Linked DNA regions of Drosophila melanogaster. The main gene of each other region encodes a partner of the protein of the gene in region 4 in a complex. Each region holds a gene or a part of one and is shown on either strand. Other genes may lie near its edges.

Region 1 (7,871 bases), 390 kb from region 4:
GATGACGGTCAGCAGCAACTACCACTTGGAGGTGAATCCCTCCGACGCTGGCATGTACGACCGCACGGTGGTGATCGATCTCATCAAGCAGGTGGCCCAGACGCATCAAATTGAGATTAGTGGCCAACGGGAATTCAAGGTGATTGTAATTTCGGAGGGCGACGAACTCACCAAGGATGCCCAGCACGCCCTGCGCCGTACGATGGAGAAATATGTGGCCACGTGCCGGATAATCATATCGGTGAACTCCACATCTCGGATCATTCCGGCCATACGGTCGCGTTGCCTGGGCATACGGGTGGCGGCTCCCAACGAAACGGAGATCGTGTCCATCTTGCAGAACACTTGCAAGCGGGAGGGACTCGCACTGCCCGTGGAGCTGGCCAAACGGGTTGTGGACAAGTCGGAGCGCAATCTCAGGCGAGCACTTTTGATGCTGGAGGCCGCCAAGGTGGCCAAGGCGCCGTTTACCGCCAATCAGGAGATTCCCGACCTGGACTGGCAGGTGTTCCTGCGTGAGACAGCATCTCAGATTATCAGTGAGCAAACGCCTGCCAAACTGGAGAAGATCCGCGAACGCCTGTACGAGCTACTCACGCAAGGCGTTCCACCTAATCTCATATTCCGCGGCCTGGTCGAACAGCTGGTTAACAATTGTGATATGTCCATCAAGGCAAAGACGCTCGAGTTCGCCACCGAGTACGAGCACCGGATGCAGTCCGGCGCCAAGCACATTTTTCATCTTGAAGCGTTCGTCGCTCAGTTTATGAACATCTATAAAAAGTTCCTTTCTGAGCTGGACATGACGGATGATTTTTAAACGATTTACACGCTTTAGCATTTAATTCAAAAAACTTATTAAATAAACTGATTTAAACGAACTATTAACGTTCTTCCTGAAGATCCGTTCGCATCTGCAGAACGGCCATGCTCATCTTATCATCGGTGGTGCGCTTTATGGTCTCAATATATCTTTGAACTTCTTCTTCGAGTTTAAAGTAAGCCTAAAATAGGAATAGATTTGGAATATGATTGGAATGTATTTTGAGTAGAACGAAATTTATATGTATGACTTACCATTTCATAATCAAGATCATCCTTGCCATTAATCTTTAAACCGTGCAGCAGCAAATCGATCGTGCTGATGGGGAAGCAGAGCTGTGGGTTTGCTATGTTCACCGCGTGTTTGAATTCGAAATACTCGCTACCTGCTCCCAGCATGCCGGCGATTATTTCACATCCCAGATCTGCGGCTTCCAGCAGACGATTGTGTTTCACAAGTAAGTGGAGCAGTTCCCGGGAGTGGGATAACTTGTAGGAGTTTATCAGCCACTGGGGCAAGAAGGCGTTTAACCCGAGAAGCCTTTGAACCACGCTCTTTCTTATCAAGGTGGAGTCTTTTGCCTCGTTATCCACAACCAGTTTTTGAAGTAAAGTCCAGGCCATATCGGCAGCATTACTTCGATGAGGTAGATCTGTTATAAGACATATAGTAAGCCTCTTTTTTTCATACACGTTAAAAAATCCCTACCTGCCATGTCGTTGTTTTGCAGCCAGTTCCAGGCGTCCGACGACTTGTCCTCAGTGGCAGCAACACAAGCGGATGTCAGACTCTCGAATATGGGGAGCACAGAGAACGAGTGTCCCCGCGAAAGTTTCAATGCCGCGGTGTACAGGCCGGAACTAGCCAGCAGGTATGATAGCTCCTCGGGTGTGGCCCGCTCGTAGGCAGCTGTATCTTTGCGGTAGAAGGAAAGCTCACGTAAAGCTTCTGCGTGCACCAGTTCCCTTCGGATATCAGCCAGCTCTAGAACAACCACCTCCTGGCCTCTCTTGTCCTCGTCACATTTGGGCTCACCATCGTCGTTATCCTGATCTATGGTAATCACCTGCTCATCACCAAGAACAGGCTTGGCAATCCATCTGTAGCGGCTGTCAACTAGGTGCAAACAGTTTAGGCAAATTAACAGCGAGGAGCAACGTTTCTCTAGCGCGTTTGGTGCATCGCTGTCTACTTGAAACCGCATGGCCTGCTCATACATAACCGTAGAAGCTGTTCGGAAACAAATTATTAATGCAAGAAGAAATGGAAGAAAATAAAGTAATTTTTATGCAAACCTTTTCTCATGTTACCCTTGTTCGTATGGAATGCATACAAAAAGTTGTAGACTTCGTTCTGATCGATGCTCATTGATCGTGCCCGGGATTCAACAATGCTCTCGAACTCGTCTTGCAACCCGATGTAGGAGAACTGCATAAGCAGTGGCAGACATTTATTCTGGAACAGCGTTATGACCAACTGGCGAAGGCAATCCTTACGCCTTGAAATATCTGCATTGTTGACTAAGGCGGTGTACGCCTCCACGTAGTGTCCCAACTGCAGATGATTATTGAACACTATTGACTGGAACATGGGCAACTGAGGATCATCTGGCTGCAGCACCCTAATGGCCATGTCAGCCAGTTGAATAATGTAGTCCAATGCGGAATGCTGTTCAAAGAGCTGGATAACCTTAAGATAGTAGTGAACAATTGCCAGTTTTGTGTCTTCGGGGGAAATTGTATCGCCACGGCTGACGCTATTCTGTAATTTGCCGTATAGAGGGGTATTTTTCAGTACATGCTCAAAGAGGAAGTCATCCTCCACAATGCCAGACTCCGCCTCGTGAAAGAGATGCACGGCCTTGTGGGCCTCACCGCAATCCAATAGAGATACGGCTAGCATAAAGCGTCCTGCGGAAAAAAAGGATTAATTTCAAAGCTGGGAAAACTAGCAAATAATGCATACTGGCATGTTTTTGTACGGAACACCAGTTTGACAAAATGCGCACGTAATCCTGAACAATGATGTGATGACAGGTCCCAAATAACCATTCCGGAAATACGTAAATCGGAGATCCCGGCCAACTAAGAGATGTTTGAAACTTAAAACATGATCAATTTTTCTATATATTATACGCACAGCATCTTATTGATGTATCCAACAAGTTGGAGCAAAGACTGGCGTAGATTCAATTGCTCCGAGTCCAGCGACAAACTGTCATGCTTCAGCAGCATAGTCAAGGCGCTGAACAGACCTTTCGATTCCAGGAACAGTCGGAGCAGAGTGGTCTGATCGTTCCCATTATGTTTCAGATGGCTGGAGTATGGTCGATTATAGCCGCTGAAAAGTTGGGCGCGGCTCAATCGTTGAATAGATGCCTCGCTAAAATTAAAATAGAAGTTAGAACTGTGCAATACAATCAATTATATATCCTTACAATCCAGCTGGGGTACTCGATGAAATGGGTGTCTCGGCAATCCAAACCAGTGTATAATATGAGTTCAAATAATTTAAATTTGTTAAAACATTTTCGCTTTCCATTTCGTTCTGACCATAAGCCATGTACTGCAATACCAAAAGGTTTCGGCAAACAGAAAACCTAGGGACACATGATTTAATAAATGATAAACCAAGTTCAAAGTTTTTTAAACTATTACGAAAGCTCACCGTATCATTGCCATTTGCTTCACTGTTTCGGACAAAATAGAAAGTCCATATTCGCTACCCATTAGAGCCCCAGACGACTGCAAGAAGCGCGTAGAAAGGGAGTAATCTATAAAGTAGAAATGAAATATATGAATCATTTTCAAACATTATATATATTTATAAGTAATTTACCATGCGGCGGTTCATCTGGATCAATCATACACAGCACATCGAGCAGCATTTCCAAAGCGGGTTCAAGATTTGGTATATTCTGCAGCTTCTGTTGGATTTGCCTCACACAGTTTGATGGCAATATTGGACCATTATCATCGATCATACTGATTCTAGCCACCAGCTTAGATATTACTTCAACCGGTGACTCCCGCTGGTAAAGCTGTTTATCTAGCTCGATTTTAATGTCCTCCGAAATTAGTTTATCAAGCAGTGTCACCACATTCATGAGCTCCACAAAACCCTTGGCCATTTCGGGATCGTTGCGAAATAGTGGCGCCACATATGTCGCCACTTCATCGTTATGCTCGCCGATGAGCAACAGGTGCTCGAGCACTTCGCAGGGGCGCAGCAATGCGAATGATTGCCTTCTAACCAAACATACTGCATCCATTCCACCAAGAACGGCGAGTCCTGTCGGCTCGGAAAGCTTAATGTGATACTGTTCGCAGCAGGAGTAAAAGCGATCCCACAGCCGAGTGGATATCTCCAAGTACTCCTCATCGGTGACCACAAAGTCTTTCAGTTCGTTTTGGATTTCATCTTCCACGGCCTGGCATACCTGCTCCTTGAGCACTGACATGGAAAGTTGCTTTACATCGAATTGCAGGTTAACGCGTCTGAACATCTACGATACAAAAAATTCAAATTACTAAACTATTCCAATAATTCATAATAAAGAATGTTTTGGTTATACTCACATATAAAGCCTTGGCAATTACATTTCGGTCAAATCGACCAGGATGAAATATATAGCTGCAGTAAGTTTCGCGTGGATCCACTCCCTGCTCCATGGTGAGACAATACCGATCCGGTGGCGGTTCTAGAGCAGCCGAAACCCATTTGATTGCGTTGTTGGAGGCAAAATATGCTGCCGAGACATGGAAATCGCCTTCAGCGTTGCTCCAAAGGGCCCAGATGTGCGAGGATGTGGCATCGAAGTCGACCAAATCCGTTTGCGGCGCCGGCACCATGTTCTGCACCAAATTGATAACGCTGGCATCGTCGGCATCGGGCATTATGCTAACGCATATAAACTCAGCTCGGGAATTGTGCGAGAGAAATAGACAGAAGTTTTGATCGCTTATTTTTCGGAGCTGGCTGTTTTGTGCTGTTAAAAAAAAGAATATAATCCCATTATATCTAGATCATAAATCTAAATCGTAATAATATTTTATACTCACGTCCTTGAGCTGCTGAGTCCTGTCCCAGTTCGGTGGAGCAGTTAATGCTGGCTACAGTCTGCAAGTTATCCACTGACCATAGACGCAGCTCATTATTGCGATACAGAACCAGAATGAAAATTTCCCCCCCGATTTCACTGAAAGCCATGGACGTGGCTGCCTCCAACGTTTCAGAGCGGCCGCTACAATGATTAATGAAACATTAGGGATTTGCCATTTATCGAGGTTTATCCACTTACGTGAGGGCACCCTTGAGATTCGACAGAAACCATGGCATTAGCTTCGGCTCCTTGATTTCGTGGGTGATAGTATGGCCGGTGGAGCATTTCATAACGTGAAGCAGTAGTTTGCTCTGATACGCCACCGCAAAGTAGGCTGACTGGGAGTCTTGAGTGAGGTACGATACAGCCGCGTTGGGCATAGTTCCAAAGCCATCCGTGACATAGTAAGTGCTGGGATCATTGATCTTGTCATTGACGTCGTAGAAAATGGACTGGGATAGCAGATCCTCTGGAGAAGCTGCGCCACCTTCCTGCCCAGCGACCTTCAAGGGAAACACATAGCGATGCACACTGCTGACCGTGACCACCAGCAGGGTGACGGATGTACCTTGCTCCGTGAGTGATACATTCAGCACAGCGGAGTCGGTGAATCGCAGACGCAGGTGATTCCTCTGCAGGGAGATGTCCAAACTAACCTCTGATAGTTCCAGGACATCCTGGTATGTCCGCCTGCAAATCAGTGGCCATGTGAAACTAATTTAACGATTCTGATTTGCACTTACCAATATATGAAACGGTTTCTGGTCTGAACATTTTTCGTATTCTTGTAGCAATAGCCGCCGGAGGTTTCGAAGGTTTTTAAATCCTGCAAAGTGCTCTGGGTTCCTACATTTTGCGGAGGAGCATTTGGTTACTCAGAATTTCTCTGGCAATCTTGCACGAAACTCACCCGTGTTAATTTTCACCTCGATCCACTCCGCCGGACTGAGGTTCCGCGGTATGACCTCGCGGTAGCTCATGTTGGCTTGCAGTTTGGATGTGGGCATCTTGCTAGCACAACAAATTAATATAAAAACCTCAACGAAAACGGAAAATTATTGGCGGCACCGGCGTAAACACGCTCAGTAGTAGTGTTGGAAAACGCTTACGCCAGCGGTGCACACCAGGCAAAATAGTCGACATAGCTTTTTATACTCACATACAAAAGTTAATTACAGAAGTTAGTTAAAAATTGTACATTTTCCTAAATGTAATTTCATGACAATAAAGTTTATTATAGCAAAGCAGGAATGATATAAGATGCCTTTAAATCTTGTGATATTAAGAAAGTTGTCGCTAGCATTTTAACAATTGCCACATATTGGTCACACTGCATTGCACGTGTGTTTCCATTTGTTGATGCGGCTTTATTATTTAGTTTATTTTTTAAAATAAAAACTGTCTCTGGCCTAAAAATGAGTGAACAGCAGGATGAGACTGTAGTCTGCCTGCCCGGGGAGCGACTCTGCAGAACCGAGGACAGCATAGTCCTGGGCATAGGCACCTACGAGCAGAATGGCTACATTTACGCCTCCAAGTCTGGAATTGTCAACATCGAAGATTCGGGTGATAAAGTAAGTAATCCTGGCATTTCGTTGACTCTGGGAACCAATTAATCTCCATTTCAGTGCCAGGTGGTTAGTGTGCATAAGCCCGGATTTCATCTAACCATCCCAGCCACCGGAGACGTGGTCACAGCCAGAGTTCTCGTCACAACTCCAAAATTCGCCAAGTGCGCCATTTTCTGCGTACGAAATGTGCTGCTGGAAAGCAGCTACCGCGGACTTCTGCGCAAGGAGGATGTCCGGGAGACCGAAAAAGATCGCGTCGATATCTACAAGTCCTTCCGGCCGGGCGATGTCATCCTGGCGAGGGTCATTAACCAACTGGAGCAGTCCTTCCTCCTGACCACCGCCGAAAATGAACTCGGCGTGGTCATCGCCTATGCCAGTGATTACCGGAAGACCCGGGTGCCCATGGTGCCGGTCGGCTGGAGCGAGATGCAGTGCCCCCAGACCACGATCAAGGAGCCACGGAAAGTGGCTAAAGTTCTGCCTGAGAGTTCAATAAATGCTGTGAAATAAGGTCAATCGCATGTTAATCAGAAGCTTAAATTCATTTGTGGAACTAAAAATGTTTTAGTAAGTGATTATTAGCCAAATAATTATATGTCTTGGCAACCAGAGGACGCTGAATATGGATACAGGTTTATGTTAGCATTTTATTTCCATAGCAACGTTGATAAGTAGCTATTTGACAGTTTACATTATTTCAAATCATTAAATAAATCTATAATTAAGTTGTAAAAGTTCAAAACAAGCTGGTTTCCATAGTTTAGCTTTTATGATTGATACGTATCTTATATTTGTTATTTATTCATGATTGGTTTGTTATAATGATTCAACAAGAGATTAGAATTTAATATTGGATCGTCATGCAATTGCTGTTTTTAAAAGTATCTCTATAGATTCGAAAGTCATGGGAATAGATTAAAGAAATTGTGCGGTAATTTGTTCTAGCAACTTAACAAAACATATTTTATGTTTAAAATAATTCATAAACACAAGGTAATCTAAATATATGCAGGCACATGCACTTTATAGGTTGGCAACATAAAAACTTTTAGGGTAAACGACAGGTACTTATTCCAAGTAATCCGAATTTCAATAACATGCAATTGCACGTGTTCCCAAAAAAAAAAATATATAATCATAAAGGCAAATAGATGGTTGTAAAGGCTCAGGCGTCAGAGGCGTAAAAACCCGTAGCCCGTTGCCAATCAATGTCGCTGGGAGCTGTTGTTGATGGATGACTATTCCTATGCAAATAGCAAATGGAAGTTCGTTTCGCGTGCAGGAGCCGCGACTAATTCAATCAGAGGAGCGGGAGCAGGCAGCCTGGAGCAATGAGCTGCTCCGGGACTAGGCCACCGTGTCTTGTCTTGCC
Region 2 (7,754 bases), on a different chromosome or scaffold from region 4:
CCCAATGGTACTATCAGATACTCGTACTCGCAGCGATTTCGACAGCTAGTAAACGCGCAAACACAAAAAAGGGCAGAGGCAGAGGCAAACGTGTGTAAATAACAAGTGCAAACACACCGGCAAGCTCCATTCGAGTGTTAACGAACGAGATTCCCAGTTCCACTCGATCTACCTGGGACTAGAGGTACCTGTACTTTATGTACCTGTCGTATCTATTGATCAGCGGTGAAAAGGTCAACAAAACGAGATCCATAAAAAATTCACACGCATTCGAAGCGGGTCGCGATTAGATATTTCATGGTCACTGCCATTGAATTGGGATTTGTCTCACAGTGTACACAGAAAATAAACATTTCTACTGTCAGCTTGATGCAGCTTGCCTTGGGTTTACAAAGACCAGGTTTCAAATCCCACACCCGTAAATACGTAAAAGTTGTAGTACTAATGTTGTAGTACTTCAGATTTAAGTTTATGTAAAATTACATTAATTGTATAAAATTTCTTTATGTGTACCAGGCCTTTTTTCTGGCAGTGTGTTGCAGTTGCACGTGAGAGACAGAGACAGTATGAAAAGCGAGAGAGACAATAGAAAACAGGTTTTAGTTTCAAGAGCAAATCTCAGAATTTTATGCTAGTGTTGACTGAGCAGGATGAAATGAAATGAAAAACGAAACAACACAGTGAGAGCGGGAAAGGGAGGATCAACAGCAGCCGAGTGAGCGTGTGCAAGCGAGAAGGTGCAACAAGTTTTACCGTAGCAACGCAGCAGGAGGCACACACATGCGGTGAAATAAGAGAGAGAGTTAGAGAGAGAGGTGGGGGTGGAGATGAGGTGTGCTCTGGAAAAGAGCGCCCAACAGTTCATAAAGTTTTCCTTTATTGTTGTTTACAAAGCACTTTGTTTAAACATTCCTGCCTAGCCATATTCTACCTAATTTATCGGCTTAATAGCCGCATTGCCAACTTACCAATGCCGAATTCTGCCTGCTTGGCATTGCAGTCGCTCCACACACTCATCTTGAAGGCTTTTCTTCTCGTTGTTGTTGCTTCTACTAGTGTTGTTGCTGATATTGTTGTTTTTGCGCCGACTTTTACCACCAACACGGCGACAAACGATCGCTACTCACACATGCAAAGCGATGGACTTTCGTTTGCGAAAATAAAAACAACAAGACATTAAATTAGGCAACGGCAAAAGAGCAACACGTAGTTGAAATTTTGATTTCGTTTTCACAATGCCGCCAACACAAGCATTTCGCCTCCGATTTCGCTACAGATTTCGACGAAAAGCACACCGGTTGGACAATTGCAACCAATAAATAATTATTGCACAAAAGCTAGCATTCCGCACAAATTGTCGCTCCGCAAATGCATTTTGCGCCGTTTTTCGCTCGTTTTGTTCTCGACTTGTATTTGGGCTGGGAGTTGGCCGCTGCCGCTCAGCTAATTATCACATGTACACGCACTCGATCGCACACACACTCGTGTGTGACAGTTGCCAATTAATTAAATAACCGCTCTCGGAAAACAACCCGCGCGTTTCAACTGTTTGTTGTGAATGAGCGTGCTCGATGCCCAGAAGTACCGTACTGTTCCCAATCGAAAATATCAAATATAGAGTGCCCCTTACAGCGTGTTCACACCGTTGATGTCAAATGGGTTTTCACTTTGTTCGCAGTACGGTCACATAAAAATGTGAAAATCGAGCTTACCTACAAAATACGAGAAACCCAAGTTATAAAATACATTTTCCACACATTCATAGTAAATTTGCTTCGGAGGCACCAAGCAAAAATTTTATTAAGACCATAAATAAGTTATGGTCAATAGTTATGCGCCTGGCAGTTGTATCCTGCTTTTTTACAGTGTATTTTTGCATGCGATTTCACGCCTTGGTCACACTTTTGGCTGCATTTTCTTCAACATCGTGAAAAAATCGGCGCGCCATTTCTGTCCACTTTTTGCGTCAGACTCGGTCGACTCCTGCTGACTTGACAAATTCGCGAGTGTTTATTTGTTTTAAGCTAAGCCTGTCCGGTCCCACAACCTTCGCATCCGGCGCAGCCGCCCCAGCTTGCCCAACGTGGTGAAATCGAAGCATTGCTCATCGCGATAGTTGGCATTCCGGCGAAGGACAAAGCAGGGGATCTACCTAGTATATGTTTGTTATCTGAGCAGCAGCAGCGAGCAAAATGTTTGGCGGCGCGAAACCCAGCTTCGGAGCCACTCCGGCGGCCACCAGCTTTGGCGGATTCAGCGGCACCACAACAACCACTCCGTTTGGCCAGTCGGCATTTGGCAAACCCGCCGCACCGGCCTTTGGAAACACCTCCACCTTTGCCGCCCAACCCGCGCAGCAGTCACTGTTCGGTGCGGCAGCCACACCAGCTCAGCCCGCCGGAGGCTTATTCGGGGCAAACACGTCCACGGGATTTGGAAGCACTGCCACAGCTCAGCCCACGGCTTTTGGAGGTTAGACACGATCATTTGAAGTGGTATCATGTTACTAATTTAGTAATTTCTTCTTTGCAGCCTTCTCGCAGCCGCAACAGACCTCGAACATATTTGGATCCACCCAGACGGCGGCAAGCACCTCCCTCTTTGGACAATCGACGCTACCCGCCTTTGGAGCCGCCAAGCCGACTATGACGGCCTTTGGGCAAACAGCTGCTGCTCAGCCCACGGGCTCTTTGTTTGGCCAACCGGCTGCCGCCACCAGTACAACAGGATTCGGAGGCTTTGGGACGTCGGCGCCTACAACCACCAATGTTTTTGGCAGTGGCACCGCCTCCGCCTTTGCCCAACCTCAGGCTACGGCCGTGGGAGCTTCCGGAGTCAATACGGGCACGGCCGTGGCCAAGTACCAGCCAACCATTGGTACAGATACCCTGATGAAGAGCGGTCAGGCAAATAGTGTGAACACTAAGCAGCACTGCATCACGGCTATGAAGGAGTTCGAGGGCAAATCTCTGGAGGAGCTCCGCCTGGAAGACTATATGTGCGGGCGCAAGGGTCCACAGGCTGGGAATGCTCCGGGAGCTTTTGGATTTGGAGCTCAGGTTACTCAGCCCGCTCAGCCTGCAAGTGGTGGCCTGTTTGGAAGCACTGCCCAACCAAGCACAGGTCTGTTTGGCCAAACTGTGACCGAGAATAAGAGCATGTTTGGCACCACCGCTTTTGGCCAACAACCGGCGACTAACAATGCATTCGGAGCAGCAACCCAGCAAAACAACTTTCTGCAAAAGCCCTTTGGAGCCACCACCACCACTCCGTTTGCCGCTCCCGCAGCTGACGCTTCAAATCCATTTGGGGCGAAGCCTGCTTTTGGACAGGGAGGAAGCCTCTTTGGTCAGGCACCTGCTACCAGTGCGGCTCCTGCTTTCGGACAGACTAACACAGGATTCGGAGGCTTTGGAACCACAGCCGGAGCAACGCAACAGTCAACTCTTTTTGGTGCCACACCAGCCGCCGATCCAAATAAATCAGCCTTTGGGTTGGGAACGGCTGCATCAGCAGCCACGACAGGTTTTGGATTTGGAGCTCCAGCAACAAGCACCGCCGGCGGAGGCCTTTTCGGAAACAAGCCCGCCACTAGCTTTGCTGCTCCAACTTTCGGCGCAACCTCCACGGCTAGCACTCCGTTTTCAAATTTTGGCCTGAACACCAGTACAGCAGCAACGGGAGGAGGCCTTTTTAACTCGGGATTGAACAAGCCAGCAACGTCCGGATTCGGAGGTTTTGGAGCCACCAGCGCAGCACCACTTAATTTCAACGCAGGCAACACGGGCGGATCACTTTTCGGAAATACAGCCAAGCCGGGAGGAGGTCTTTTTGGAGGAGGTACTACAACCTTGGGTGGCACGGGTGCTGCCCCAACGGGAGGACTGTTTGGAGGAGGAACTACCAGTTTCGGAGGTGTCGGTGGTTCCTTGGGCGGAGGAGGCTTCGGTATGGGTACAAACAACTCGTTAACTGGTGGTATTATGGGAGCTCAGCCCACACTGGGTATCATGACGCCTTCACACCAGCCCATTCATCAGCAGATCCTAGCTAGGGTAACTTCTCCCTACGGAGACTCTCCGATTTTCAAGGATCTAAAGCTAAGCAGTGAAGCAGATGCAACAAGAGCTACAAATCCTGCTGCCCAACAAGCAGTTCTGGACCTGACCAGCAACCAGTACAAGATAAGTACCAGCAACAATCCTGCTCCAATGAAGGTAAAGGCGCTGGGCAGCACACTTAATAGAAAATCGCTGTTTGATGGTCTCGAGGAGTTTGATGCTTCTGTAGAGGGCTTCAATCTGAAGCCCAGTGCTAAACGATTAGTTATCAAACCCAAAGTAAAAAGTGTAGAGGGTGGAAATCCCTCTAGCTCTATTGGCAGTGCTCCCAACACGCCCCAATCTCGACCCAAAGGCGCAACTCCCAACAAAGAACGCGAGTCGTTTAGCGGAGCCATTCCAAGTGAGCCGCTACCACCAGCTGGAAACTCGCCTGGAGCAACGAATGGACGGGAAAGTCAGGATAACGGCCGCCGTGAGTCATGGCTGCATCCTAACAACCTTGAGAAGGTACGCCAGCACAACATTCAGACTGGAATGGATCAGGGATCGCCCCATAACAGCACCCTCAACGAGCTTGTGCCACGTAAACCTTTAGATACATACCGACCATCCTCCACCGTTCGCCTCTCGGTGTCAACCATCCCAGAGAATCCATTTGAGGATCAATCCAGCACCATTGCACGTCGCGAAACCTTCACTTCGCAGCAGGCCAATGAGAGTGTGCTTTCGAACAGATCTAATGAGGCAGAGGACTCTGCAGCAAACCAATCCCGCCTAGCCATTGAGGCAGCTGCTGCAGAGGCAGCAGACGACGAATCACATCCAACAGGCATTGTGCTGCGACGCGTGGGTTACTATACAATTCCATCGCTAGACGACCTACGCTCCTATCTGGCCGAGGACGGATCCTGTGTGGTTCCGAACTTTACGGTGGGTCGGGAAGGATACGGCAATGTCTTCTTCGGCAAGGAAATGGATGTGGCTGGCCTGAACCTCGATGAGATTGGTAAGAGTCTTGTGTTTTTTTATAACCGTTTGTGTTTGCTCTCATACATTTATTTAATGCAAAACAATTTGTATCACAGTCCACTTTCGCAACAAGGAGATTATCATTTATCCCGACGACGAAAACAAGCCGCCCATTGGTCAAGGTCTAAACCGTGACGCCCAGGTCACTTTGGACCAAGTATGGCCGTTGGACAAGACCAAGCACGAAGCCATCAAGGACCCACAACGCTTGCTTGAGATGGACTGGGAGGGCAAGTTGCGCCGGGTGTGCGATAAAAACGATACGCGCTTTATAGAATACCGCCCGGAAACGGGTAGTTGGGTCTTCCGCGTCAAGCACTTTTCTAAATATGGCCTGGGAGACAGCGACGAAGAGGACGAGTTGCCCACTGACCCGAAAAAAGCCAAAATTGCAACGCTTGAGGCTCAGCAGCGGGCAAACGCAGAAAAGATGACGCTCAATTCGCTGCGCCAAGCGCAGAAGATTTCAGAAGATGCAGCCCGTAACTTGGACCCAAAAGCCTTGGTCGCAGGTGTTGCCAGCGGATTCAGGCCAATGGATGATACCGCCGAGTTCCTTTTAATGGACAAAACACGTACGTCTAAAGTCCATTTTAAAAGGTTTAGTTTCATTAATTGTAATTTACTTAATTTTAATTCGCAGAATTTTTCCAAGCTGGTGGCAACTCCGATTTCTCCATGTTTGATCCACCGCGTCAACGTCCAACGATTACCAGTCCCACAGCTGTTTTGGCTCAGGAAATGGTAGGCAACGAGGCGCACAAAATGCAGCTAATGAAGTCATCCTTCTTTGTGGAGGACAATGCTCCCGAGGACGAACCCATGGGTAGGTGGATAATCTCTTGATGGTCTTTCAAATTGCTTACAGTAAAAGATATGTAGATGTTTAAATGTTAATCGTTAGTTTTGAGCAAATATGTATTGTTAATTATCAACGATATTTAATGATTTTTGATCGTTGCAAAAAGTATTATATATATATATTTATGTTTAAAAAGGTAGCACAAATTATAAAGTTAATAAAGCTTTCAAATGTGTTAGTAAATCCAATTCATTTTGCCTGCTTTGGCAACAATTCATTATAATTACAACAATTCACTGCTTATCATCCCACACGGCCACTATACATTTGAAAATTACTCATAAATTTCTACAGAGACTACGGGGCGTCTTCTTCGTCATCGCAAGTTTTTCAACGTGGAACCTCTTGTTTGGAAAGATGGTGCCTCCGAGAGTTCCAGTCAGTACGATTTTGAACACCCATCGCCCGCTCTGCCGATTTCTTCCTCCGTCTCTGAGGCCAGCCTGATGTGTGATGCACATTATGAGGAGGTATATCGACGTAACCTTTTACTTTGAAGCCCAATAAACATCCTGATCAATTTCAGACATCGTCGATGGCAACTGGAAGCATTGTTGCAGCTGTAAAAGAAACGAAGTTTGAAATGCCTGTCACTAAAGCCTTCAAGTTTGTCTGTAAGCCCAAAGTGGCTCCGATTAAGTTGCGTGCCACCACGGTTCCCCTACCCAGGTCCATCGCTTATGAGATGCGCGATAATTGGATCGCCGATTTGGGATTCTACAAAGGACGCAGCTTTAAGCTCAGTTTTGGTCCACAAAACTCATTGGTACTGCCAAGCACCTATAATAACATGCAAAACCTAAAAGAATGTAAGAATATCTGAAACAAGCTGTAGCAGTCCAATTATAATAATTTCCCTTTGCTTCAGTTACTGGACCATCCCTGCCCGTCTCCATGGTATTTGCGCCGCGCTCGGCCACCGATTTGTCGCCCAGTGTAATGCAGTTGGTGGAGTTTAACATGGTCAAAGGCAACGAGGGTTTTCGAGAAAGTATCATTCCCCATCTCGAAGTTCAGCTTAACGACTGCCTCTCAGTTAATGTGGAGGGTAGTGAGTGCCCGTGTATACATCCCGATAGCGGTACGAAACTAGTTTCCAAGCACTTCTCCGAGTCTCTTAAGCAGAGAAATGCTGGCTTAAAAGAGGACTATAGCGTGTCAGTGTGGTCGCTTTTATTCGCACTATGGGGCGATCACGATGAACTGGTGGACCTGGAAAAGAACTCTCATTACATGGTCATGTGTCGGCGCAATCTGCTATCCGAGTGGCTTGAGAACACGCTGCTGGGCAAAGATCTACTCTCGAAAAAAGTTAGCACCCACAGCTACCTGGAGCACATGTTGGATTTACTTAGCTGCCATCGCGTAAATGAGGCTTGTGAGCTGGCCTTCAGCTACGATGATGCTAATCTGGCTCTTGTGCTGTCCCAATTAAGTTCCGGAGCTGTCTTCCGGCTATTAATGGAGGAGCAGCTCTTTGCCTGGCAGCAGAGCAAGTCGGATAAGTATATCGATCTGGAGCGCCTTAAGATGTACATGCTGGCCGCCGGAGCGCCAATGATGCAGTCTTCACATGGGGCCATCAACTTACTCGAGAATAAAAACTGGCTGACAGCACTGGCCCTGCAGCTATGGTATTTCACAGCCCCAACATCGTCTATCACCGATGCACTCAATGCTTATAACGACGCCTTCCAAGCGGAAGAGTGCTATGCGGAGCCCCCAAAGCCCAGCTACAGGGACGCACCTACTGACACCAAGAAGCCCGTCTACGATTTGCGCTACCACTTGCTCCAGTT
Region 3 (4,537 bases), on a different chromosome or scaffold from region 4:
GCCATGGGCAGATGAAGTCCCCGGACCTCGTCCAAAAACTGCTCATACTGTCCAATCCTAAACATTTTCTCGCTAAAATAGGTGACGGCTTCCTCAGCCAACGACTGAAGATCTTGCCATGCTGCCGTTGAGCCGGCGGATCCGTACTTAAAGACGCGGACATAGGATTCCATCTGCTGGTTGTGTTGGTGGCGTAAAATTGAAAATCCTTGCCTGTACAGGGTATCGATACGCGCTTCTAGAGAAGAACGATCCGATCGGGAATTTAAAATCTTTCCCAATTGAAAAATGATGATGGCATCTGCTTTTGGGCCATTAACGCCGCGCACCGCTTCCAATCCATGTTGTAGTTGAGCTCGTTGCTCGGCGCGATTGCCTTCAGTGATAAGCTGGTTCGAGTTAAGTCGCACCACCAGATCCCACCAGTTACTTTGCTCCGGTGCGCCTAGTTGACCCACTAGATTGGCAAATGGCATCATATGTGGCCGGGCGGCAGCATTGCGGTTTCCCAAATTGGAGGAGTCATACACCTCACGCTGGATTTGCAATTTACGTCTGGTCTGAATGGTTGTGGCATAAAGGTAGAGGTCCACATCTACCTGGCTGATTGAATCTTGCCCACAGTAGTTTAGATTCTGCTTAACATCCCGTTGGAAACCCTCATAAAAGACCACGCGTGGCGCATCTCCAAGTTTGTTCGGGTCGGTGCCCAGAGCCAGGTAGACATGTTGGGCTAAGGAGTGTGGCGGCAGCACCAACGCTTGCAGTTCGTAGTTCTCGATATGCGCCAGATTCGGCCACTCAAAAAGAGGCAGCTGCAGACGCAGGTTCCGCACCAGATGCGAAGACGTATCCTTTAGCTTGTGTTCGGCGTGGGTAAAGAGCTGTTGGTAAATTTGACTTCGCCAGCTCTTGTCCAAGCATTGCTGGTGAGCGCTGGCCAACAGCTCTTCGGAGTCGGCAAATAATCCCGGCATAGAATTTCCCGAATTCTTATTCTCATCAAACTCGGCATTTTCTCTATCGTTTTTAATTTCCATTTGTGACCGGTCCAAGCAGCCCAAAAGGGTTCGTCCAAGCTGGGCACATCGAAAGGCGCCCTGAGGGCGCCACATCTGTATCAACTGCTTCTGTTCCGCGTCGCAGTGTTTTATCCATTGGTTGGTACTCGAATCATCGATCGGTCGCACCTGGTAACCAAGGAGCAGAAGTGGCAAAGCGGAGCGAAGCGTGCTCATCCATTTGTTTTTGTTTGCCAGAACCTCACGTTTGAAAATCAGTGTCACCGCGTGAAGCAGAAGCTGGCCGGTAAAGTGGTCAATACAAGCCTGGTGGAGATCCCGCTGCGGAGCGTCCCCTGACCTCTCTATCGAAGTGCTAAACTTGAATAGATATTGATCAAGTCTGAACAACTGCTTGCTGCTGTCTGCCAGTCCACTGCCCTCCAGGCTTAGCTGCACGAGACGATCGAGAGTGTGCAAGGCGAAGTGCCAAAATCGCCAGTTCTTCTTTACATCCTTGGCCATTTCTATCTTGAAAAGGACCATCCAGATCTGCTCGTACCATTCGTTCGACTGGCTCGTGCAGTTTTTCGACTCCAGTTCCGTTTTTAGAGCATAGTTGAAGGCCTGGTCTATTTTCATTTTTTCAACATAGCTGCGCAGCAGTTGTATGCGTATATTAACATCCTGGGGACGCGCCTGCAGCTCCTTGTACATAAGAATCTCGAGGGTATTTTGCTCGCCGTCTCCGCCACTGGTGTCATCTCTTTCGCCGTTACTGTCCGCAAGATTTACACGCATTCGCAGGTTGAAGACTTGCTTGTTGCCGCTTAAATCAAGGCTATTAGCCTGATCCAACCAGTACCTGGCGCACTCCGTGATCGATGCGTTGTTCTCCTTCACCAGAAGTTCGCAGGCGTCAATGACAACCTCTGACTGACGCGGATCAATTTGAATAGAACGTTGGTAGTGCTGCAGGGCCTCTGTCACATCGGGCGGGTTCAGCCTACTGTAGCAAGTGGCAATCATGTTATGGCCTACAGCGTCGTCCCTCACCCGGAGATAGCCGTTCAAATACTCGATGGCTTTTGGGTATTCCTGAACTTTCATGTACAATCGAGCTACAGCCAAGCCTTTGATATCGCGCTACAATATACATTTTATTGATTAGTACGTTAGGTTCAAAAAAGTCTGTTAAATTTTTAGACAATCACTGTGAGCTGGATAAGAATAACTTTGTAAGATTTGACTTATTGTGTGCTTATTATTTAGATAGAGCTACGTTAGACCGCAAAAAATCATTCAAATCCACAATGGAAATTCGAATTATTTTTGGCGGTCTTACAAATTCAGCGCTCACTCTAGCAGATTGATATGGTACACATAACCTCAAATATCTAATTTGATTTATACAGAGAAGGCGAAAGCCATGCAGCTGCGAAAAAAGCGTTCTATTTGTCAAGTATATGAAATGCAGCCGTTGAAAGAAAAGCGCGCAATTTCTTATTCAATCTCAAAAACGACGGCCAAGTGACGCCGACTCACACACACAAACACAAGCAGACGCCGCACGCACACAACGGTGTGCTTTCAATGGCGGCGCCTGAAGATTTCGCAATGATTTTCTTTTTGGAAATTCCGATGCACACTTTGGCCGTTTATTTACCTCTCTTCCCGGCTGAAGTTTTCCCAACATTTTGTGGACGTGTGCGTCCACTTCTTTTCGCGTTGTAAACATATCTGTACTTTTTTAAACACGTCCAATTTGCAGTGGACGAGACCTTGCAAAAATGTGCTTCGCGTTAGATTCTTCTTCACTCGTCATCCGATTGAAGCAGATTCCTCGAACGGTTAATTGCCCCGGCCGGAAAATCACGTAGATTCGGATGGGCAATTCCAGTCGCAACAAACTGCACTCGTTTGCGGTGTAGATTGGAACGTAAATATCACTAAATTCCAATTAAAACTTAAGCTGAACAGCACGGAAACCAAAAAATTTGTGCAAACTTAGTGCTGGAACAAAAAACGATGACTACGCGTTTTCATCGATGGGCGCGAATATATCGCGTCACCGATGTTTTAATGACTATAGCAACTATCGATTGCTACGATTTTTTTTCGAACAAACAAATAAGTATAAGGGATTTAATAAATAAATTAAAGAAGGTTCAAGAATAATATAAAACTTATGATAGTTTAACGAAATTATGAAATATAAATATAGAAATAGAGTGTAGATCATTGATATTCTTCTGATAAATCTTTTTTATATCATATTTTTTATATTCTTTTATTTATTATTCATACAATTTTATATAAATTACTTCATTTGCACTTTCCAGAAGAGCAGTTTCCTATCGGAAACCGCACTAATGTACGGCAATCGCTGGTGCCAGGCCATTCCCCCATAGGATTTCAGGGAGGCCTCCAGCAGAGGAACGGTCGACTTGGCCGCGAACACTTTGAGAGTCAGCCCGATGACCATGGCGATAACCATCTCGGAGCTGCCTGGCGCGAAGCGCACCACCCGGCCGCAATCCTCGTGGACCTGCTTGACATCCGCGGGCACATAGGGTCGGTTCAGGTCCCAGGTAACCACATCTCCGCCGGCCAGCGAGGTGATGAAGAGCCGGTTGCTGTGGGCCCAGTCCGCCGACATCAGGGGGAATTTGGGCGACTCCACGGAGATGACTGTCTGCTTGAGCGTCACATTGTATAGATGAATGATGCCTGCAAGGAGTTTCCTTAGTTACACCGCGGGCTAAACACTGGTAATAGCAAGCACACCCTTCTTTTCCGCCACAAGAACCTTGTTGGGATCCTCGGGGTGACTCTTGACGGACATTCCAGCGGAGGACAGGCCAAAGGTTATGACATTCTCCCCGCCGCCTGTCGTCGTCCAGAATCTGCAGGTGAAGTCATCGCTAACGGAGGCCAGCAGTTCGCCGTCGCAAACCCAGGATACATCGTTGACGTAGTCCCCATGCCCACGGAGCACCTGGAGCGAGGTGAACTGGCCCAGATCGGTGCGGTATAGTTTAAGCTGGCTGCCGTTGGCCGCGCACAAAGTCACATTGTTGGGCGTGCAGTTGAGCGAGGTGTCCGGCGAGAAGGCCAGTGCGCTCACGCTCCGCTGCTCCTTTTCGCCCAGGTCCATGTCCTGCAGGCGTGTGTACCCGAACTCGCCGCTCTCCTCCTGCGGATTAAGGGTTAACCATTCAAAATCATTCAACCTTCACTGGTCTTATGCATGGAAACCCACCGGCAGTCCAACGAGCAGCAGACTCAAGTGTTTCCTGAAGGCCACTGCGATTAGGTTGTAGGCAAAGTCATTGGTGCATATATCGTAGCAGTAGATGGCTTCATTAAGCTGGATGCTGTGGTCGGGCTCGATGACAGATCGCATCTTTCTATAAATATTGTTTGTTATTCGCGGGATATATGCAACAATTAGCCGGCGCCAAAAAAATGTTTATTTTAGTATGACCAAAAATCAGTGGAAGAATTTTCCAAGATTTTACACTTTTAAAAAACAG
Region 4 (5,312 bases):
GGGGGTGCAGGGTGTTCATGTGCTGGTACAGCGCCAGCGGATGGACGAAGAACTCCGCACAGCACATGCAGTGGAAGGTGAGATCCGGCGGCTGTGGCTGCTGCGGTTGCTGCTGGGGTGGATTGGGTGCCTGTTGCGGCAGGAGGTGCGTCTGCTGCAGGATTGGCGTGATCGTCAGGGGCAGGTGGTGGTAGCTCTGTTTCAGCTGCACGGCCATCTTGCCAAAAGGCTGTGCAAATCAAACAACAAAAATCACAAGGAACACAAGCGACGAGCGTGTGAACATTTTCTCTATAATAAAAATGCGCGTTTGCGGGGAGAAAAATCAATGCCGTACCTTGGGTGAGATTAGATGCGAAGTGCCGTGGATCAGGGGTTCCGTAGACTACTATTATATCACTGGTGTGTGCTGTTGCTCAGGTTCCGTGCTTTTGTGTTTCTCTCAGGGCTCTCGTCCACATTCGTCCACTGCGTTCCATTTTATGCGCCGCCAGCGAAATGCGAATAACTTGCTTCCTGTTTTCGGTGCTCGCTTGTTTTTGAATTTGGCTGCTCGGTTCCGTGGGTCGCCGGAATCGCGTACCGTCCTCCGACCCGTTGTCTGGTTAGCTGCGACTGCCAGGAGCTGCGACTCGAGCGAATGCAGCGCATCGCCCAATCGCAATTCTGCAGAGCCAAAATCGCAATTGCAAGCGTCTTCGCCGTGCGTACAACAAATAAAAGAAAAATGTTTTATGTTGGGCGGCCCTTGCACGATTGGACGGCAGCATATCGTCATGCAAGCGTTTCGTGCACGTCGCCAGCATGATGACCGATAAACCGCGCAGCTTCAAATTCAAACCGCAATCGATTGTTACATCTTTCGAAGGTTTTAAACATTTAATAATATTTAATTTAATTTCGAGTGCCTAAATCTAAGCAAGTTTTATTATTAGTGTTTAATTTCACTTAACAAGTTGCTAAAATTATTGAATTGAGCCCTAACATCTTAAATAATATTAATATTAAATATAAACTGCTCATCTCGTTCCCCTTGGATTTTCTTTCTTGCCAAACTACAGGCTAGTCAGACTAACAAGTTGGAAAATCCAGAAAGCAAGCAACGTGGATCGTTCCTTTTCAAGTAAATACGAAAAAGGCTACCAAAATGGAAATGGATTACTATCTGCCAGTGTATAACGGATCAAATTCGGTGGACGTGCCGGGGCTGATTGAAAGTCTCAAGCTGAAGGAAACCAGTATATCGCCAATCGTGCTGGATCGCTATCCGCCGTACTCCCCGTTCTATGGCGTGATGGGCGTCGTATTCTCCAGTGTGCTGACCTCCGCTGGAGCGGCCTACGGAACTGCTGTTTCCGGAACTGGAATCGCCGCCACAGCGGTGATGCGTCCCGAGCTGGTGATGAAGTCCATCATTCCGGTGGTCATGGCGGGCATCATTGCCATATACGGTCTGGTGGTATCCGTGCTCCTATCTGGGGAACTAGCGCCTGCTCCCAAATACTCGCTGCCCACCGGCTATGTACACCTGGCCGCTGGACTTTCGGTGGGATTTGCTGGACTGGCTGCCGGATATGCAGTGGGTGAAGTCGGCGAAGTGGGCGTGCGGCACATTGCCCTGCAGCCACGCCTCTTTATCGGCATGATCCTGATCCTTATTTTCGCCGAGGTGCTCGGTCTCTACGGCCTGATCATTGGGATTTATTTGTACACGGTCAACATTAAGTAGCAGAATTTGTTATATCTAAAATATTTAATTCGTTAAGAAACGTTTTTATCGATCTTTAATATTTGAAATGCCTTTTGAATTTCTTTACGCGATTGTGGTACTCATTTCAGGTACGCCGTTGCGGTACGCGATGGAGGTACCCCATACTAATGATTCTACGGAATGCTGGTACCTTATTCTTTAGCAGCTTTGCCGAATTACTAGATATGTAAACAATTTAAATCAATTTGTTTCTTACGAAATTTGCTTGAATTCAGTGAGAATCGCTTATTTACAAGTGTATGTGCAAGGGAGCTTTCTTGCTGTTCCGTCATCTGGTAACACTGAACGCTCCCGGCATTTTTAGCGAATAGCGCGTGAATTTCTGTTTTGATTAAATTAATTGAATTGATGTGCCGTAGCTGATAGCCAAGAAACGCATAGTGCAGCCATGGCCGACAGCCCGTTCCCGAGGAGCAGCCGCAGTGGCCTGCTACGCACGACGCTGAACAGCTCGATGCCGCCGCAAAATCTCTCCCACTCGCTGCTCATCCTCGAGAAGAGCAACGCGGAGCAGAATGAGCTCTCGCTGATGGAGGACACCGGCGATGATCTGGATCGGGGCAAGAGCCGCATGGACGTGCTCTTCCCGCAGTTCTTCGACGTGCTGCAGGCTCAGGGTAACGGGCAGGAGGCATTCGAGGTGATCCAATCGCTGACGCAAGTCTGTCGCGGCGTGGTGGAGCAGCTGGAGCTGGAGATCGATCACGGCATGGGTGGGGAACAGGGCGCGCGGCAACGCGAGTCTATGCTCACCTGGCTGCGACAGGAGATAAACACGTGGCGCCTGCTGCACGCCCTCTTCTACGACCGCATCCTGCTGCAGACGGACAGGCAGGCGGATGATGAGATGCAAGATGGCCCCACGCTCGGCGGCAGCGAGAAGGAGGTCATACAGCAGTTGTACGCCCTCAATGCGACGCTGCGTGAGTACCAGCTGGTGGTGGACTGGCTGGAGGCGTGCTACGACCGGGGGGAGCAACAAAACCCACTCCACGCCCACGATCGTATGATGGCGTGGGAGAACACGCTCTTCCAACTGGAGAACCTGCAGGGCGCCGCCTTTGGCAAGGGCCATAAGATCGTAACGCGTCTGGATCCAGATGCTCCCGTACGCGAGAAACGACCGTTGCACGCCCTCGACGAGGAGGACAACCTGCGCCTGTCCCGCGCCATTTTCGAATTGATACGAGCGGGACGCGTCGACGATGGCCTCAAGTTGTGCAAGCACTTCGGACAGACGTGGCGGGCGGCGATCCTTGAGGGCTGGCGTCTCCACGAGGATCCCAACTTCGAGCAGAATGTCTCGGTGCTGCACGAAAAGCTGCCCATCGAGGGCAATCCCAGGAGGGATATCTGGAAGCGCTGCGCGTGGATGCTGGCCGATTCCAAGAACTATGACGAGTACAGCCGCGCGACGGCGGGTGTCTTCTCCGGCCACTTGGGCTCGCTGAAAACCCTTTTGCACAGCAACTGGCACGATTTGCTCTGGGCCCATCTGAAGGTGCAGATCGACATCCGTGTGGAATCGGAGATACGCGGCTGCTGCCTCAAAAACTACCAACCGATGCCCGATGATTACTGGAACGGCAGGATGACGATGGAGCAGATCTTCGAGGAACTGAACGTTGCCAAGGATGCGTCGGTGCGGGATTTCGCCCAAAGTCAACTGGGCATTATCCAGCGTCATTTAATCCTGGATACTTGCGGCGAGCTGATCCAACACATGGTGCGCTGGGTGGAGAAGGATACCTCCCAACAATCGCCCCATCAATTGCGCTTTATGGCCCACATAGTGCTCTTCCTGCGTCAAATCGGCCGTGTGGAGCAGGAGCGACAGGCGGAGAAGATCGTAGCCGCATATGTGGAGGCATTGATTGCCAGGGGCGAACCGCAGCTAATAGCCTACTATACTGCATCGCTTTCGAATCCGCTGCAGGTTCAGCTCTACTCGCGGTTTCTGGAGCAAGTGGAGCAGAAGCGTCCGCGGGAGCTAGCTGTGGATGCCGCCCTGCAGGCGGGCTTGGATGTGGAACAGATCACACGCGTCACCGTGCAGAATATTCGCCTCGCACATCAGCCACTCGGGGAATTCGGTGAGCCGCAGTCCGGCGAGATCTCTGCAATCGATCAGCGCAAGATCTCAGCATTGGAGTGGCTAATCCATTTGCCGGAGCAGCGCGGTGAGTTGCTGTGGCAGGCCAACGCCATGATACGCACCTATCTGGCCAGCAGCAAGGTGGAGTGCATGCGCCAGACCTTCCGCATGGTGCCGGCCGACATAGTGCAGCAACTAGTCAGCTTGTACGGCTCGGTGGACAACATACCACCGCGTGAGGAGTGCTGCCTGAAGGAGTATCTCTGCTACAAGGCGTATCTGTCTGGCGTCGACAGTTTCGTCGAATGGAACCGCCTGCAGCAGAACAGGCCCAAGAAGCCACAGACTTCACACGCAGCTTCCTCGCAGGACAACTTCACGGAGCGCATGGCGAGTGAGCGCAAGGAGCAGGCTCACCGATCGGAAGTCGTGCGCTGGGAGCACAAGGTTAAGGAGCAGGCCAAGCGTAAGTGGATCGCATACCCATTAATGAGATCTTTTGGCATATAACCCGCATTCTTTCCCTGCAGAAACCATCGAACTCCTGTACAATGTGCTCATGTTCCCGGACAAGGGTTGGCTGGTGGATCCGTTCATCGCCAAGCTGCCCGAGAACGCCGTGCAGCTGAGCTGGGATCATCGCCTACTGCAGATGGAGAAATTGCGCTCCATCTGCATTCCTGAGATCGCCCTGTTTCTGAACGAAGTGATGTTCAAGTCGGGAGACTTTGCGGGTTGCGTGCGCCTGGCAGATGAAATATCCAGCGAGAATCGGCAGTTGTACAAAGTCTATACGAAGCACAAGCTGGCAGAGCTTCTGGCCAAGATCGCGGACGCCTCCCTGGAGCTGCTCAACTCGAAACTGGATCCATGGGGCTATCCTATAACAACTTAGCAATCCTAGTACATTTGTGTGTTTTGCGATTACATTCTAACTTTAAACGTTTATTATTTATTCACTGTTCAATTATACAACTAAGGAGGGGGACAAATGGGAGGTAGGTAGGATGGAGGGCTTAGGAGTTGTTGTCCACGGCGGCGGCGGAGGCGTTGTTCTCGTCGCACCCGTTGCTATGCTTTAGTAGGTAGGAGGCCAGGAACTGTATGGGATCCGTGGGCCGTTCGCGAGCCAGGGCCTGCATTCCGTGGAGCAGAACCGGCGCCACCGTCTGGTCGAGGTACTGTCGCGTGGGCATGTTGTTTGTCTCGCTACTGGGCTTCTTGGCCACCGCCGGCTGCTGTTGCTGCTGCGCCACTGGATTTGTGGACTGGCCAACGGCAATGGCTCCGGATGGAGGAGCTCCCGGCGCAGCGGTCGGGTTTGCTTGCGCATTGCTGCTTGCATTTGGCTCCTTGCCAGCTTCTGCCGGCGGATTTGTTGTGGGCGCTGGTGAGATGGGTGCGTCGGTCTTGGCCTCCATGGCAATGTGTTCCTTTTGTTCAGCA

What was found.
Region 1: Nup107 (region 4) and Nup160 share a complex: the UniProt entries of both Drosophila melanogaster proteins name them as parts of the nuclear pore complex.
Region 2: Nup107 (region 4) and Nup98-96 share a complex: the UniProt entries of both Drosophila melanogaster proteins name them as parts of the nuclear pore complex.
Region 3: Nup107 (region 4) and Nup358 share a complex: the UniProt entries of both Drosophila melanogaster proteins name them as parts of the nuclear pore complex.

What each region holds. Positions count from the first base shown.
Region 1 is NT_033779.5:11,121,940-11,129,810, reverse strand, and holds Nup160 (nucleoporin 160kD), read right to left. Parts: upstream 6,035-7,871; 5' UTR 5,933-6,034; coding exon 5,836-5,932; intron 5,772-5,835; coding exon 5,669-5,771; intron 5,616-5,668; coding exon 5,124-5,615; intron 5,067-5,123; coding exon 4,885-5,066; intron 4,812-4,884; coding exon 4,402-4,811; intron 4,329-4,401; coding exon 3,662-4,328; intron 3,597-3,661; coding exon 3,491-3,596; intron 3,423-3,490; coding exon 3,261-3,422; intron 3,206-3,260; coding exon 2,963-3,205; intron 2,908-2,962; coding exon 2,789-2,907; intron 2,734-2,788; coding exon 2,119-2,733; intron 2,054-2,118; coding exon 1,532-2,053; intron 1,476-1,531; coding exon 1,078-1,475; intron 1,005-1,077; coding exon 885-1,004; 3' UTR 821-884; downstream 1-820. Other genes in the region: RfC38 (replication factor C 38kD subunit), read left to right, coding at 1-820; Csl4, read left to right, coding at 6,341-6,499, 6,554-7,009. UniProt on the Drosophila melanogaster protein: Functions as a component of the nuclear pore complex (NPC). Involved in poly(A)+ RNA transport. Required for nuclear import of Mad. May play a role in double strand break DNA repair. Essential for nephrocyte development.
Region 2 is NT_033777.3:23,775,603-23,783,356, reverse strand, and holds the start of Nup98-96 (nucleoporin 98-96kD), read left to right. Parts: upstream 1-1,735; 5' UTR 1,736-2,192; coding exon 2,193-2,472; intron 2,473-2,532; coding exon 2,533-5,070; intron 5,071-5,149; coding exon 5,150-5,668; intron 5,669-5,736; coding exon 5,737-5,919; coding exon of another isoform or gene 5,920-5,939; exon of another isoform or gene 5,940-6,141; intron 6,142-6,249; coding exon 6,250-6,425; intron 6,426-6,481; coding exon 6,482-6,764; intron 6,765-6,823; coding exon 6,824-7,754. Other genes in the region: mbc (myoblast city), read right to left, coding at 969-1,017. UniProt on the Drosophila melanogaster protein: Part of the nuclear pore complex (NPC). Required for MAD import as part of the Nup107-160 complex and required for nuclear export of Moe probably via its association with Rae1. Plays a role in nuclear mRNA export.
Region 3 is NT_033777.3:25,247,833-25,252,369, reverse strand, and holds the start of Nup358 (nucleoporin 358kD), read right to left. Parts: upstream 3,023-4,537; 5' UTR 2,740-3,022; coding exon 2,668-2,739; intron 2,148-2,667; coding exon 1-2,147. Other genes in the region: Nup37 (nucleoporin 37kD), read right to left, coding at 3,322-3,731, 3,789-4,197, 4,264-4,407. UniProt on the Drosophila melanogaster protein: E3 SUMO-protein ligase. Component of the nuclear pore complex (NPC), a complex required for trafficking across the nuclear envelope.
Region 4 is NT_033779.5:10,732,793-10,738,104, reverse strand, and holds Nup107 (nucleoporin 107kD), read left to right. Parts: upstream 1-2,033; 5' UTR 2,034-2,159; coding exon 2,160-4,332; intron 4,333-4,396; coding exon 4,397-4,761; 3' UTR 4,762-4,812; downstream 4,813-5,312. Other genes in the region: CG12299 (uncharacterized protein), read right to left, coding at 1-217; Vha16-5 (vacuolar H[+] ATPase 16kD subunit 5), read left to right, coding at 1,148-1,729; Dpy-30L1 (Dpy-30-like 1), read right to left, coding at 4,883-5,287. UniProt on the Drosophila melanogaster protein: Plays a role in nuclear pore complex (NPC) assembly and maintenance. Required for nuclear import of Mad. Mediates the association between the nuclear pore complex and a subset of active chromatin regions adjacent to lamin-associated domains.